3 linked regions of the Ovis aries genome follow. The protein of the gene in region 1 purifies or fractionates together with the protein of each later gene. This does not show direct contact. Links are inferred from orthologs where the notes say so. Each region holds a gene or a part of one and is shown in the gene's direction. Other genes may lie near its edges.

Region 1 (4,144 bases):
CCTAGCATCTCTCAAGGCAGCCCTGGGCTTCGTGAGAAGCCGGTATCCCTTCTGGCCTGTGTAGCCTGTCATGTCAGAGCATTCTAAGTCAGTCAGAGGACAAGGCTGCTGCTGAGATGTGGTGGAGCCTGTGAATCTAGAATTTTCTGTGTATACCTCCAGTTCACTCAGCATCTCCCATTCAGCATCTCTTAGAATGTAACAGTAAACTTTAATGATTCCTTACAATGAAGGATAGAAAAACAAATTTAGGCTGCATCTGTTTTCTGAGTGAGGTGTTAGACTGCACCTTTTCTCTCTTTTTAAGGAGAAAACGGTTCCCTCTACTTGGTCATCCCTCTTCGGCAGAGGTTCCTTTGAACACTCAGGTTCCACCAGTCCCTGGAGTCTCTTCTGTGGTCTGTTACAGTCTTACAGGTACTGTCTTTGGAGACGGGACCTTGGTCATTGTGGGCAAAGGTGGGGCTTGTGTCTTCCTCCAAGAAGGCGGTCATATGTCCCCAAAATATCTTCAGGGGTGACCATTTTATATCGGTTGAGATGACCAGCTTGAATCTCAAACCCATTCTGATGTTCTGATCCCACTGTTGTATATGGCACCACTTTTCTTTTTATTACTATTATTTCTAACGCTAAGTAGACAGGGGCAGCACTGGGGACTCTGCTACTTTTTAAAGTCACCCTCCACTGCCCTTGTCTTTGTAAGTGATAGACTAAGTGATAGGCCGGTCCCCTTCGCTATCTTATGAGTCTGTAAAATGGGGATCAGGAACTTCGTGCCCCCAGGGCCTGTGAGGACCGGCTAATGAGGGCAGAGAGTGGGAAAACGGAAAGTCTGAAACAATGATCTGTCATTCCATGCAGCTTGCAAAGAGGATACAACGTAAAGCTCAGCTGGGTCTTTGGAGCAGGTCTGCAAAAGGCTTTGAAGAAGGAAAAGTGCCGCGGAGATGCTAAGTAGCGGCCAAGAGACCAGGCCCGCTGCCAGGGGGGGTCAGGCCTGGGCCGAGGCGGCCGCGGTCTCGGGCTCAGGCCAATTTTGCAGCCGCGAGTAAAGTTCACGCTGCCCGCGGCGCGAAGGGGACCGACCTGGATAGGGAGGCCAGGAGGGAGGCGGCGCGCAGGCTCCGGAGAGGCGCGAGCTCCGGGCCGGGTTTTCCCCGAAGCCTTCGGCGGCGGCGCTGCCGAGCGAGAGCGGCAGAGCGCTTGCCGCCGCCGCCGCCGCCGCCGCGGCTGGTTCTCTCCCCTCCTCCTTTGTGAGGGGAAGGGAGCGAGTCCGTTCCACGGCCTGCGCCCCGCTCCGCGCTCCGTTCCGGGTTTGCCAGGCGGCCGCGACGGCGCTGGGTAAAATGGCAGTGCTGAGCCTCGTGTCGGAGTGAGGGGGACTCGGAGGAGAGTGGGGCGCTCTAGCCGCTCAGTCCGGCCGCCCGCCCGCTCGCCCGCTCGCCGCCGCGCAGCAGCCTCGGCCCGGCGCCGCGGCCGGGGAGGGGAGGCAGGGCGCCCGGCCCGGCCCACGCTCCGACTCTGCCTGCCGGCGCCCGGGCTGCTGCCGCGCGCCCTCCAGCCCGCCCGTCCCGGGTCCCCCTCCCCCCGCTCCCTCCCTCCCTCCCCGCCCCCTCCCCCTCGCCTCCCTCCCTCCCCTCCCTCCCTCCCTCCTTTCTCCGGCAGCAGAAAGCGGAGAGTCACAGCGGGGCCAGGCCCTGGGGAGCGGAGCCTCCACCGCCCCCCTCATTCCCAGGCAAGGGCTTGGGGGGGAATGAGCCGGGAGAGCCGGGTCCCGAGCTTACAGAGCCGGGAGCAGCTGAGCCGCCGGCGCCTCGGCCGCCGCCGCCGCCTCCTCCTCCTCCGCCGCCGCCGCCAGCCCGGAGCCTGAGCCGGCGGGGCGGGGGGGAGAGGAGCGAGCGAGCGAGCGAGCGAGCGAGCGCAGCGCAAAAGCCGCGGAGCCCCGCGAGGCCCGCCCGGGCGGGTGGGGAGGGAAGCCCGGGGGGACTCGGCCCCGGGGCGGGGTGGGGTGGGAGGGGGGTGAGAGAAGACGAAGACAGGGCCGGGTCTCTCCGCGGACGAGACAGCGGGGATCATGGCCGCGCAGGTCGCCCCCGCCGCCGCCAGCAGCCTGGGCAATCCGCCGCCGCCGCCCTCGGAGCTGAAGAAAGCGGAGCAGCAGCAGCAGCAGCAGCGGGAGGAGGCGGGGGGCGAGGCGGCGGCGGCGGTCGCGGCGGAGCGCGGGGAAATGAAGGCAGCCGCCGGGCAGGAAAGCGAGGGCCCCGCCGTGGGGCCGCCGCAGCCACTGGGAAAGGAGCTGCAGGACGGGGCCGAGAGCAATGGGGGTGGCGGCGGCGGCGGAGCCGGCGGGCCCGGCGCGGAGCCGGACCTGAAGAACTCGAACGGGAACGCGGGCCCTAGGCCCGCCCTGAACAATAACCTCACGGAGCCGCCCGGCGGCGGTGGCGGCGGCAGCAGCGACGGGGTGGGGGCGCCTCCTCACTCAGCCGCGGCCGCCTTGCCGCCCCCAGCCTACGGCTTCGGGCAACCCTACGGCCGGAGCCCGTCTGCCGTCGCCGCCGCCGCGGCCGCCGTCTTCCACCAACAACATGGCGGACAACAAAGCCCTGGCCTGGCAGCGCTGCAGAGCGGCGGCGGCGGCGGGGGCCTGGAGCCCTACGCGGGGCCCCAGCAGAACTCGCACGACCACGGCTTCCCCAACCACCAGTACAACTCCTACTACCCCAACCGCAGCGCCTACCCCCCGCCCCCCCAGGCCTACGCGCTGAGCTCCCCGAGAGGTGGCACTCCGGGCTCCGGCGCGGCGGCGGCGGCGGCCGCCGGCTCCAAGCCGCCTCCCTCCTCCAGCGCCTCCGCCTCCTCGTCGTCTTCGTCCTTCGCTCAGCAGCGCTTCGGGGCCATGGGGGGAGGCGGCCCCTCAGCGGCCGCAGGGGGAACCCCCCAGCCCACCGCCACCCCCACCCTCAACCAACTGCTCACGTCGCCCAGCTCGGCCCGGGGCTACCAGGGCTACCCCGGGGGCGACTACGGCGGCGGGCCCCAGGACGGGGGCGCCGGCAAGGGCCCGGCGGACATGGCCTCTCAGTGCTGGGGGGCTGCTGCTGCTGCGGCGGCGGCGGCCGCGGCCGCCTCGGGAGGGGCCCAACAAAGGAGCCACCACGCGCCCATGAGCCCTGGGAGCAGCGGCGGCGGGGGGCAGCCGCTCGCCCGGACCCCGCAGGTAACACGGCTGGTGGGGTAGGGGGGGCTGTGGCGAGTGGGGCGGGGGGGTCCTGGGAGTGGATGGCGGCGGCGGGGAGCGGGCCACGGCCGTGGGCTACCCCCAGTCTGGGGCCCCCACTGCTGGGGAGCTGCCATTGTCTCGCTCTTTCTCTCTTAAAATGGCTGCCCGTCTGCCTTCCTCTCTTTCCCTCCTTCAGCCTTTGTGTGGGGCTTTCCTTGAGGTGTCTGCTCCCCTCCTCCTCCTCCCCGGGTCCCTTCCAGCTCCGGGGGGTCTTCAGAGGGGTGCGGAGCCGGGTGTGCGGGAAAAGGGCCCGGCCCGGGGTGAGGGGGTGTTGGGGGCTCAGGTTAGGGGTGTAGGCAGCCCTCGGAGGTCGGGAGTTGAGTGAACAGTTCTTTGCTCACCTGCCGCTCCTCTCTGCCCTCCCTACCTTCCTCTAGGCCGGTCCCCATCTGTGCTTTCAAGGAGGGGGCCCCTCGGGCTCGGGGGGACCTCGAGGGAGGGCAGGGGCCTGCTTGGGAGCAGCTAGAGCCCGGCTTCGGTTCACCCTGGGCAGCCCAGGTCGTCTCCTGTCTTAGTCTCCGTCGGCCCAGTGGCCTGGGCTTCTCCCTGGAAGTGCTGGTAAACAGCTGAGTGATTGGAGTAGTAAGTGCAGATTGCTTTGGTTTGGGATTTGAATTATGGAGGTAAAATCCTTCTGTCAAAGCCAGGAGACAGTTGGTCTTAGGTTGACATCCTATCTGTGATCTGATTGGCTCCCCATCTCCTGCTCTTGGCCATTTATAATTGCCTCTGATGTAATGGTACAACAATCCTGATGAGCTCATAAACTTTTACACTCTGCTTTTCTGCCAGTGATAACCCAAACCATCGCTGCCACTATCTGCCTTTTATTCCAGAGCTGAAATTGGCTGTGACCTT
Region 2 (4,127 bases), on another chromosome or scaffold:
TAGGTTTTCCTTCCAAGCTGCTGACATCTATTCTGCAAATTTGGTGCAGGGTAAACAATGACAAATACCACTCAACTCTCATCTGCCAAACCTGATTTTAAGGCACAATGATGGTAAGATGTGTCCTGATTCCGAAATACTAAAATGGGGGGAGGGCAGAGAATATGTGCATCTTAGAATTGATGAAATACGGCATATTACCAGGATCAAAGACCAAGCCCTGGGGACTCTGACGGGTCTAGGTAGATGTGAGGACAGAGAGCCAGTAAAAGAAGCTGAAGGAGCTGGCAGTGTGATAGGCAGCCAGCCAGGAGAGTGTGTGTCTCAGAGATGAGTTTGAAAAAGAAGTGACTGGCCAGTGTTGTCATGAGGGCTGATAGGCTGATAAAGACAGGGAGATCTCGAAATCTGTTGAAATGGAGATCGTGGTGTCTTTGTTAGATGTTTCAATGAACTGATGAGAACAAAATCGCCATTAAACTGGGCAGAGAGACACTTGGAAATAAATCAGCAGGGATAGTAAGTATAAACAAGAATATGTGCTCTGAAAGGGTGAAAAGAAAGAGGGTGATAAAGGCAGAAAGGGCTTAAGGAAGGGCTCTGATATTTTTTAAAGAGGATATTAAGCCATGTTTGCAGATGAATTTGCATGATTCAATAGCGAAGGAGAACTGAATGGTACAGGAGAGGAAGTTGCAGGAGAGAAGTTCTTCAGAGGAGGACAAGAGCTTAGGGGTAGGAAGCAGGGAAGAAGAGGTGGAGATCAATTAAGTTGGTGGCAGGAAGGTGGGGGAACTTTTGTCAGACCCAAATATTCAGGCCAAAGATCTGCCAGGTTCTTGGAGTTAATATTTCTCTCACTAAAGTGGGCAGCCCAAGAGGAGTGTGCACTGCTCTTACCTTCGGCTACCCACCAACCCCTGAGTCTGTACGTGAGGGCAAAGGGTTATTAACCACGAGGTTAAAGGTCAGCGAGGTAACAGGACGCATGACCTCCATCTAGACCACCTCTGGGCTTGCCAGTTCTCACCAACCTCTCACCTTCTCATTTATGGACCCGGTCAGATCCTCTCGCTTCTACCTTCTCACTAAAAGGATGAGGCAAAACTGGAGCAGAAGCCTCGGGGCGCGCGCCCGCCTCCATTGCGCCTGCGCATTCGTCCCCGGATTGCCAGGCCGGGGAGAACTGGCCAGAAGCTCATTCTCCGTCGCTCGCTCTCGGGCGCACGCGCCCCGGTGGCGCCTGCGCAGAAAGACAAGGAAATTGGTTCCCTCTGCGGTCCCAGCGCCTGCGCGCTGCGGGCTCCGGGCCTCCCGGCCTGAGGGAGAGAAGCCGGGAAGATGGCGGCCGTGGTGGAAAATGTAGTGAAGCTGTGAGTGGCCGTTTCTTTCTCTTCTAGCCTGGGAGGTCTTGTAAGGGACCTGGAAGCAGGGGGCGGTGTGGGAACGGACGAGGCGGAGAGAGGGACGTGCCCAGAGAGGCCGTGTTGCGACTCCTAGAGGGGAGGGCAACAGGAGACTCGGGAAAGACGTTGCGCTTCTTTGGAAACTTGTGGAGGCCCTGAGGGGGGCACACGGGAGCCCGTGACGGGCAGCCTCCCTGTGGGGCTGGGCGCTCCCTCAGGCGGAAGGTTTCCAGAGTATGGCGCCCTTGTTGCGTACGGCACACGGTCCGGGCTTCGCCTCCGTCCGGGAGAGCGGGGCCGACCCCCGCGAAGCCTGGCCGCCGGCCCCTCCCCGTCGGCTGCCCGCAGCGGGCCCCGGAGGAGCAGGCTCGGCCGCCCTGGCGCCGTTAAGCGCTCAGGGCTGTTTTGTTCTGAACAGCCCCGTGACGTTCCTGGGCGGGCGGGGGCGGGGGTGGGGTGGTCCTTGAGTATCAGGTACCCGAGACCAAAAATATTCCTGGGGAGAATTTGTGGAAGAGCAAGATCCAGAGGGAAAGAACTTCAGGGAAGAGGGGCTTGGCGCCGGCCAGTCCCAGCCATCGGAAAGTGGGCACTGGACGGACGCAGTCCAGGACGCCCTGGCCGCCCCGAGGGGCATCTGGGTCGACCTTCTTCGCTCTGCAATACTCTTGGACTGGGCAGATTTCAAGCAAAGTTAAAGTTCATGGTTGTTTGGCAGACTGAGAATGGCCTGTTAGCTGTGAGTTAAAGATGCTTTGGGACTTGATTTAATCCAGCCTCCTCCCCGAAGAAGAATCTCAATGAGTTTTCCAATGGGTTCTTGCACCCCCACCCCCGTCGGCCAATACAGCAAGCTCTTTAATGGACACATTTGGCTTGGTGCAGGGGTAGGAAAAATGAGGTGACCAGTTGTGCAGCTTGGCTTTTGGATTTTGACTGGGTGAGAAGGTAAAGGTTTGGGAACTCTTCTAAGGGGCACATAGCTTCTCAACTGTCTTTGTAGTAGGCTGAGCCCCACTCTTCCCAAGAGCCTTTTTTCTAAGAGTACATTGCTTCTCTCCCTCCCCCTGCCTGGAGCCTTTTCTTTGAGAATGCTTTCCCACTTCCATTAAGCTAAGTGCCTTCTCCTTGTGGGTTTTTTTTTTTTTCCTAACGTGCTTTCAGCTCCATCCTGCTGCCTATTTCAGCCACCCCTACTCCCAGCACTATTTATTATCTTCCTCTCTGATCTACCCACTTCAGTTTCCCCAGCACTCTCTCCAAGCTGACATTTCCCTCAATTTAGAAATGACGCTGCTGATCTACCATTTATATGTTATCCATACTGACTCAGATGTTCTTTCTTTGTTTCCCTGTCTTTCTCTTTGTTGACTGCCCCTGTCCCATTGTAAAGGGAGGTTTTACACAGGTTTCATGCCTCTCAAAAAAGAATCAAAGCTTCTACCTTGGAAAGCTTACTGTAATGGGGGAATGTCAAAACTTGCCTAGGTTTAAGAGTTTTATGTAGTGAGATTGTTTATGTTGGAAGACTTTCATCTGAGAAATAAGGTCACCAACCCTTTCATGCAGTATTGGAAGTGAGGGGTTGCCCGTTTAAATAGAGCTTGACTTCTTATTTCTCTTTAAAGATCTGTAGAGATAGTGAAGGTCACCAACTGCTGATTCCTGAGTACCAGTAATAAATAACCAACTTTCTACTCCTCAGTTCTAGCTGTAAAGAGCTGTGGACCACAGTTAATACATTTTCGTACAGAACCTGCTCTTTAAAAAGAGACTTCCAGTCTTCCTGTACCATTCTCATCCTGTAAAGAGACGCTTTTCTTGACCACGGTGTGCCTAGTCTTCTGACTGCTGAGGTTTTACATTGAGGTCAGGACTACTAGCTCATCTTTTCTGACTTGCATCTTGTTCTGGGAGAAGAATTTTCCTGTTTGTAAATTCTCCATCCCTCCCAAACGTGGTGTCAGAATTGAAACAATCTTTAAGAGGTCTTACAGGGCAAAATAATAGTATAAAAGAGCTGTGGTTGCTGAAATCCTCTGAGTTAGGTAACAAGATCTGGAGAATGTTAGCTTAAAATTTCTTGTAGGAGCCTTAGATTCTTAAGAGAGCTCTCTCATTCTTTTTTGCTCTATCCTCATCAGATCCTCTCTTCCTCCAACTTGTATTTCGTTATCAGCTCTCACTCACAATGCAGTTTGCCCCACCTTCTGAAATCCCATTTAACTCACCGGAGCTTTGATAGAACATCTCTCGTCATATCTCAACCCCACCCCCGACAGTTTCCAGCCTCCTTGCTCTGACTTTGCAGTTCTCAGCCTGTCTAGCCCTTCTTTCCATCTGACTTACAGTGTCAGTATCAATTTCCATCAGCAGAAACAAAGGCGCTGCCGCACTCAGCCTTGTTTATCCAATTTTCCTCTGTTTAGTGAGGACATGGCTGCCTCCTAAAGGCGAGCAAATATGAGCCTATTCCTTCTCTTTATTCTCCAGCACAGGCTTCATGCCTACCTCAAATTACAGTCATTACAGCACATTGAATCAAGCCAGACTATCTTGTGATGTCACTGCCTGCGTGCAGTGTATGTCTTTGTTGGTTGCTGGGAACGTTCTAAGCTGTGCCTCAGTGGCTGCCCCATGAAAGCCCCTCTTCGATTCCAGAGCAGGGTTTGTTGCTGCAGCTTGAGTTACGAACATAAACGACAGAGATTTACTGTGTTC
Region 3 (3,422 bases), on another chromosome or scaffold:
AGCTGTGGCCACCCTGAGTTTTTTTTTTCTAGCATCTCTAGCTGTGTAGCTCTGGCTCATTAAGGCAGAGAAGCAGGCTGTCTTTGCCTCTCCGCAGCTCAGAGGAGCCTCCTCCTGATGAGGAGACTTGTGGCAGGACTCCAGAGGCCCCCCATCCTCCCAAACGCTTCCTTCCCACCCCCCTCCTTCTCCCCTCCCCCTGTCTTTGGGTCGTGTTTCTCCTCTTTTCCTGTGTCTGCCTCTGGTCAAGAATCTGACCGTCCTTGGTGAGAACGTGGGATGAGTGCGGGATGAAGAGTTGGAGTAGGAATCTCATCTCTGTGATGCTGGTAGGGAAGGGGGTTGGGGGGGGGGGGGGGTCCTTTGATTTGGTGTGAATCCCCACCCAGCCTGGCTTGGTTGGCTGGTTGTGCTGGTTGCATAATCTGGGCCCTGGGGCCAGCCCTGTGAAGCTGCCAGGGACAGTGTGTGCAAGGCAGAGCTGCCAAACAGGCCTTGCAGGCAGCAGCAGCCACAAGAAAGGGGGTGGGGGCTCCTCCCCAGTGGGTTCCACAGTAATGTTGGGGAGCCGGACCTCAGTGGGAAATCCCTTCTGCAGGTTTTGAAAGAAGCCACCTCCTACCCAGCTTCCTCTGCTGATCCTAAGACTTTGATCCTTGCATCCCAGGCTAATCTTATCTCCATTCTCCAGCTTGGCATTGCCAAGCAGCCCCAGCCACCAGGTGGCGTGTGGACCGCAGGCAGAGGCCAGGTGCCAGCTGCTCTCCCTTCCGCAGACCACTGGGGAGCCACAGCTTCCCTTTGGAGTCTTCAGGCCTAGAGGTTGGGGGCTGGGCAGCAGAGAGGTGAGAGAAGGGTCCAGTTCTGGGTGGTGAGTAGGGGCCATATGGCGACCAGATGGCCTGTGTACTCTGCCTGAGGCCGCCCCCACCCGTCGGGACAGGCTCCAAGCCATCCTGTTGCAGCTTGCTCACCTGCGGTGCCGCTGCCGATGGGCCTGCCAGCCCTTTGGACTGCCGTTCCCTGCTCAGTCACACCACCAGGCCGGTGACTGGGGACGGGCACTGGGGCTGTGCCCCGTCAGCCTGCTCGCATCACAGCCACAGTCCGCCGCCTGGCTACGACACTGCCCCTGGCTTCTGCCTCAAGCTGGGGGAGGAGAGGATGGAGTGCTCGGTGGGACCATCTGAGAGCCTTGAGGCCGGCTGGTCCAGGGAGCCGGGCAGAGTGTTGCTGGGGCCAGAAGGTGGTTGCAAGTGGCAATAGGCCCTGAAAAACTCCCCCAGGCCCTTCTCCCTGCAGGCAGGGTTCTCCTCCCACCCCTTGGGCTCTGCGGGCCTCATTCGCTGGCACGGCTGCCAGGGCGGTTGAAGGGGGCGGGGCAGGTGTGGTTTACACTTCTGCTCTCAGGCGCTTGCTCCCCTTTGTTCCTGGCACTCCTGCCTGGGCTCGGCGGCCCCGTGGTGTGCTGCTCAGGACTGGACCCAGGCGAGGAGAGGGATGGAAGGAATGGGTTACGGGCCCCGTTGGGCCCCACCCCTGACCTATGCACCCCCATTGGCTCACTTCCCCCAGCGGCCTGGCATGTCCCCAGGGAGCCGGATGCCCATGGCTGGCTTGCAGGTGGGACCCCCTGCCGGCTCCCCCTTTGGCACAGCTGCTCCACTTCGACCTGGCATGCCACCCACCATGATGGACCCATTCCGAAAACGCCTGCTTGTGCCTCAGGCCCAGCCCCCGATGCCTGCCCAGCGCCGGGGGTAAGACCTTCCTGTTTCTTCTACCCCATCTAGCGTAGCTCTGGCAGTAACACGGTTTCCGTGTGTCCTAAGAGCTGCGATGACTGAGGAAGACTCCTGGTTGTCTTGGGAAGGTCCTGGGGACTGGAGAGGTGGGGAGGCGGGGAGGTCCTTTGGACCATTGACTTCTTCGTTGGGTTTCTGTCCTCTTAGGTTAAAGAGGAGGAAGATGGCAGATAAAGTTCTACCTCAGCGAGTGAGTATGTTGGGAGAGGGCCTAAGAGGCCCACCCAAGGGCTGGTTGGCTGAGGGTGGACTCAGTCTCCCCTCACCTTGGGGTGAGGGAGGAAGTGAGGAAGGAGCCAGAGCTGCAGCTGAAATGAGCTGATGGATCCTTGCTCCCTCCACACTTCCAGATTCGGGAGCTTGTCCCAGAGTCTCAGGCGTACATGGACCTCTTGGCTTTTGAACGGAAGCTGGACCAGACCATTGCTCGAAAGCGGATGGAAATCCAGGAGGCCATCAAAAAGCCTCTGACGGTGTGTGCAGCCCCAGCCGCTCCTGGGCCTCGCCAAGCTTCTCTGCCCCTCCCTGGGCTTGTTTTCCAGGGGCCAAGTGGGCGTCTCTGATGGGCTAGAGCAGGATGTTTTACACTATAGGATACAGCCCATTTAGCATGAATTTGCTTTGATGTGGTGAGGCCAGCCTGTTTTTAATGGAACATTAGGGTTGTAGAAATGATCATTCTTCACAGTAGCAAAGGAATTACGACATTTTTGATTCATATATTTGCATATATGTGCAGATCCTGGATCATAATTTAAAACAATATTATACATCATGGTCAGAAGTTTGAAAGGCAAAGCTGGAGGGTAGATGAGGATAGTTCCTGTCTTCTTCCCCGTCCCTAGAGAAATTTTATCTAGAGAACAGTTCCTTGAATGGTGGAGGCTTTCCGGGAGACGATGTTCTGTAGCCACGATGAGTGTTTGGGTTTCACTTAAACTATGAGCCAGCAACTTCTGATAGCACCCTCAGTGGATCTGTCACACCACCGATGCCCCTGTATTGGACCTTTTGGTACTGCATGTTTCCCCATAAAGTTGTGAGTCCCTTGAAGGTGAGGGATGAGATTTCCTCGCCCAGTTCCCAGGGCCTCACTAGGGGCCTGACCCATAGCACTCTCTGTATGGGTGTGAAATGAGTTCAGACGGGAGGATTGGGTAGCAGCTGGTCCCTGTCTAGTTAACCTGTTGTCTTTCTTTAGCAAAAACGAAAGCTGCGGATCTATATTTCCAATACATTCAGTCCCAGCAAGGCAGAAGGTGACAGTGCAGGAACCACAGGGACCCCTGGAGGAACCCCCGCAGGGGACAAGGTGGCTTCCTGGGAACTCCGAGTAGAGGGAAAACTGCTGGATGATGTGAGTTGGGGAAGGAGGTGTCTGGAGGGGCAGTGGTCTATGTGGGTTTCAGACTTGGGCCAGACACTTGGGCACTTCCGGGGTCATCCTGCTGGAGGGAGAGGGCACAGCACCCAGTCCAGAGGTGGGAGGTTTGTGTGGTTGTTACAGTGCTTTTCCTGCAGATGGCGATAGAGTGTCCTGAGGAAGGGGTGCCCTTGCTAATTCCGGTCCTTTACTGGCTGACAGCGGGGCTGCCTAGGGACCCTTTCTGTGCCTCA

What was found.
Region 2: the proteins of ARID1A (region 1) and DPF2 purify together in Homo sapiens (affinity purification with mass spectrometry; 6 studies listed by BioGRID and IntAct, counting the BioPlex papers as one, with this or other methods). This does not show direct contact. The link is inferred for Ovis aries from reciprocal best matches to the Homo sapiens genes ARID1A and DPF2.
Region 3: the proteins of ARID1A (region 1) and SMARCD2 purify together in Homo sapiens (affinity purification with mass spectrometry; 7 studies listed by BioGRID and IntAct, with this or other methods). This does not show direct contact. The link is inferred for Ovis aries from reciprocal best matches to the Homo sapiens genes ARID1A and SMARCD2.

Annotation. Positions count from the first base shown.
Region 1 is NC_056055.1:240,201,243-240,205,386, reverse strand, and holds the start of ARID1A (AT-rich interactive domain-containing protein 1A), read left to right. Parts: upstream 1-1,314; 5' UTR 1,315-2,077; coding exon 2,078-3,223; intron 3,224-4,144. UniProt on the Homo sapiens protein: Involved in transcriptional activation and repression of select genes by chromatin remodeling (alteration of DNA-nucleosome topology).
Region 2 is NC_056074.1:39,982,886-39,987,012, forward strand, and holds the start of DPF2 (zinc finger protein ubi-d4), read left to right. Parts: upstream 1-1,298; 5' UTR 1,299-1,341; coding exon 1,342-1,373; intron 1,374-4,127. UniProt on the Homo sapiens protein: Plays an active role in transcriptional regulation by binding modified histones H3 and H4. Is a negative regulator of myeloid differentiation of hematopoietic progenitor cells. Might also have a role in the development and maturation of lymphoid cells.
Region 3 is NC_056064.1:47,811,051-47,814,472, reverse strand, and holds part of SMARCD2 (SWI/SNF-related matrix-associated actin-dependent regulator of chromatin subfamily D member 2), read left to right. Parts: intron 1-974; exon of another isoform or gene 975-1,298; intron 1,299-1,575; coding exon 1,576-1,760; intron 1,761-1,952; coding exon 1,953-1,995; intron 1,996-2,155; coding exon 2,156-2,278; intron 2,279-3,006; coding exon 3,007-3,162; intron 3,163-3,422. UniProt on the Homo sapiens protein: Involved in transcriptional activation and repression of select genes by chromatin remodeling (alteration of DNA-nucleosome topology).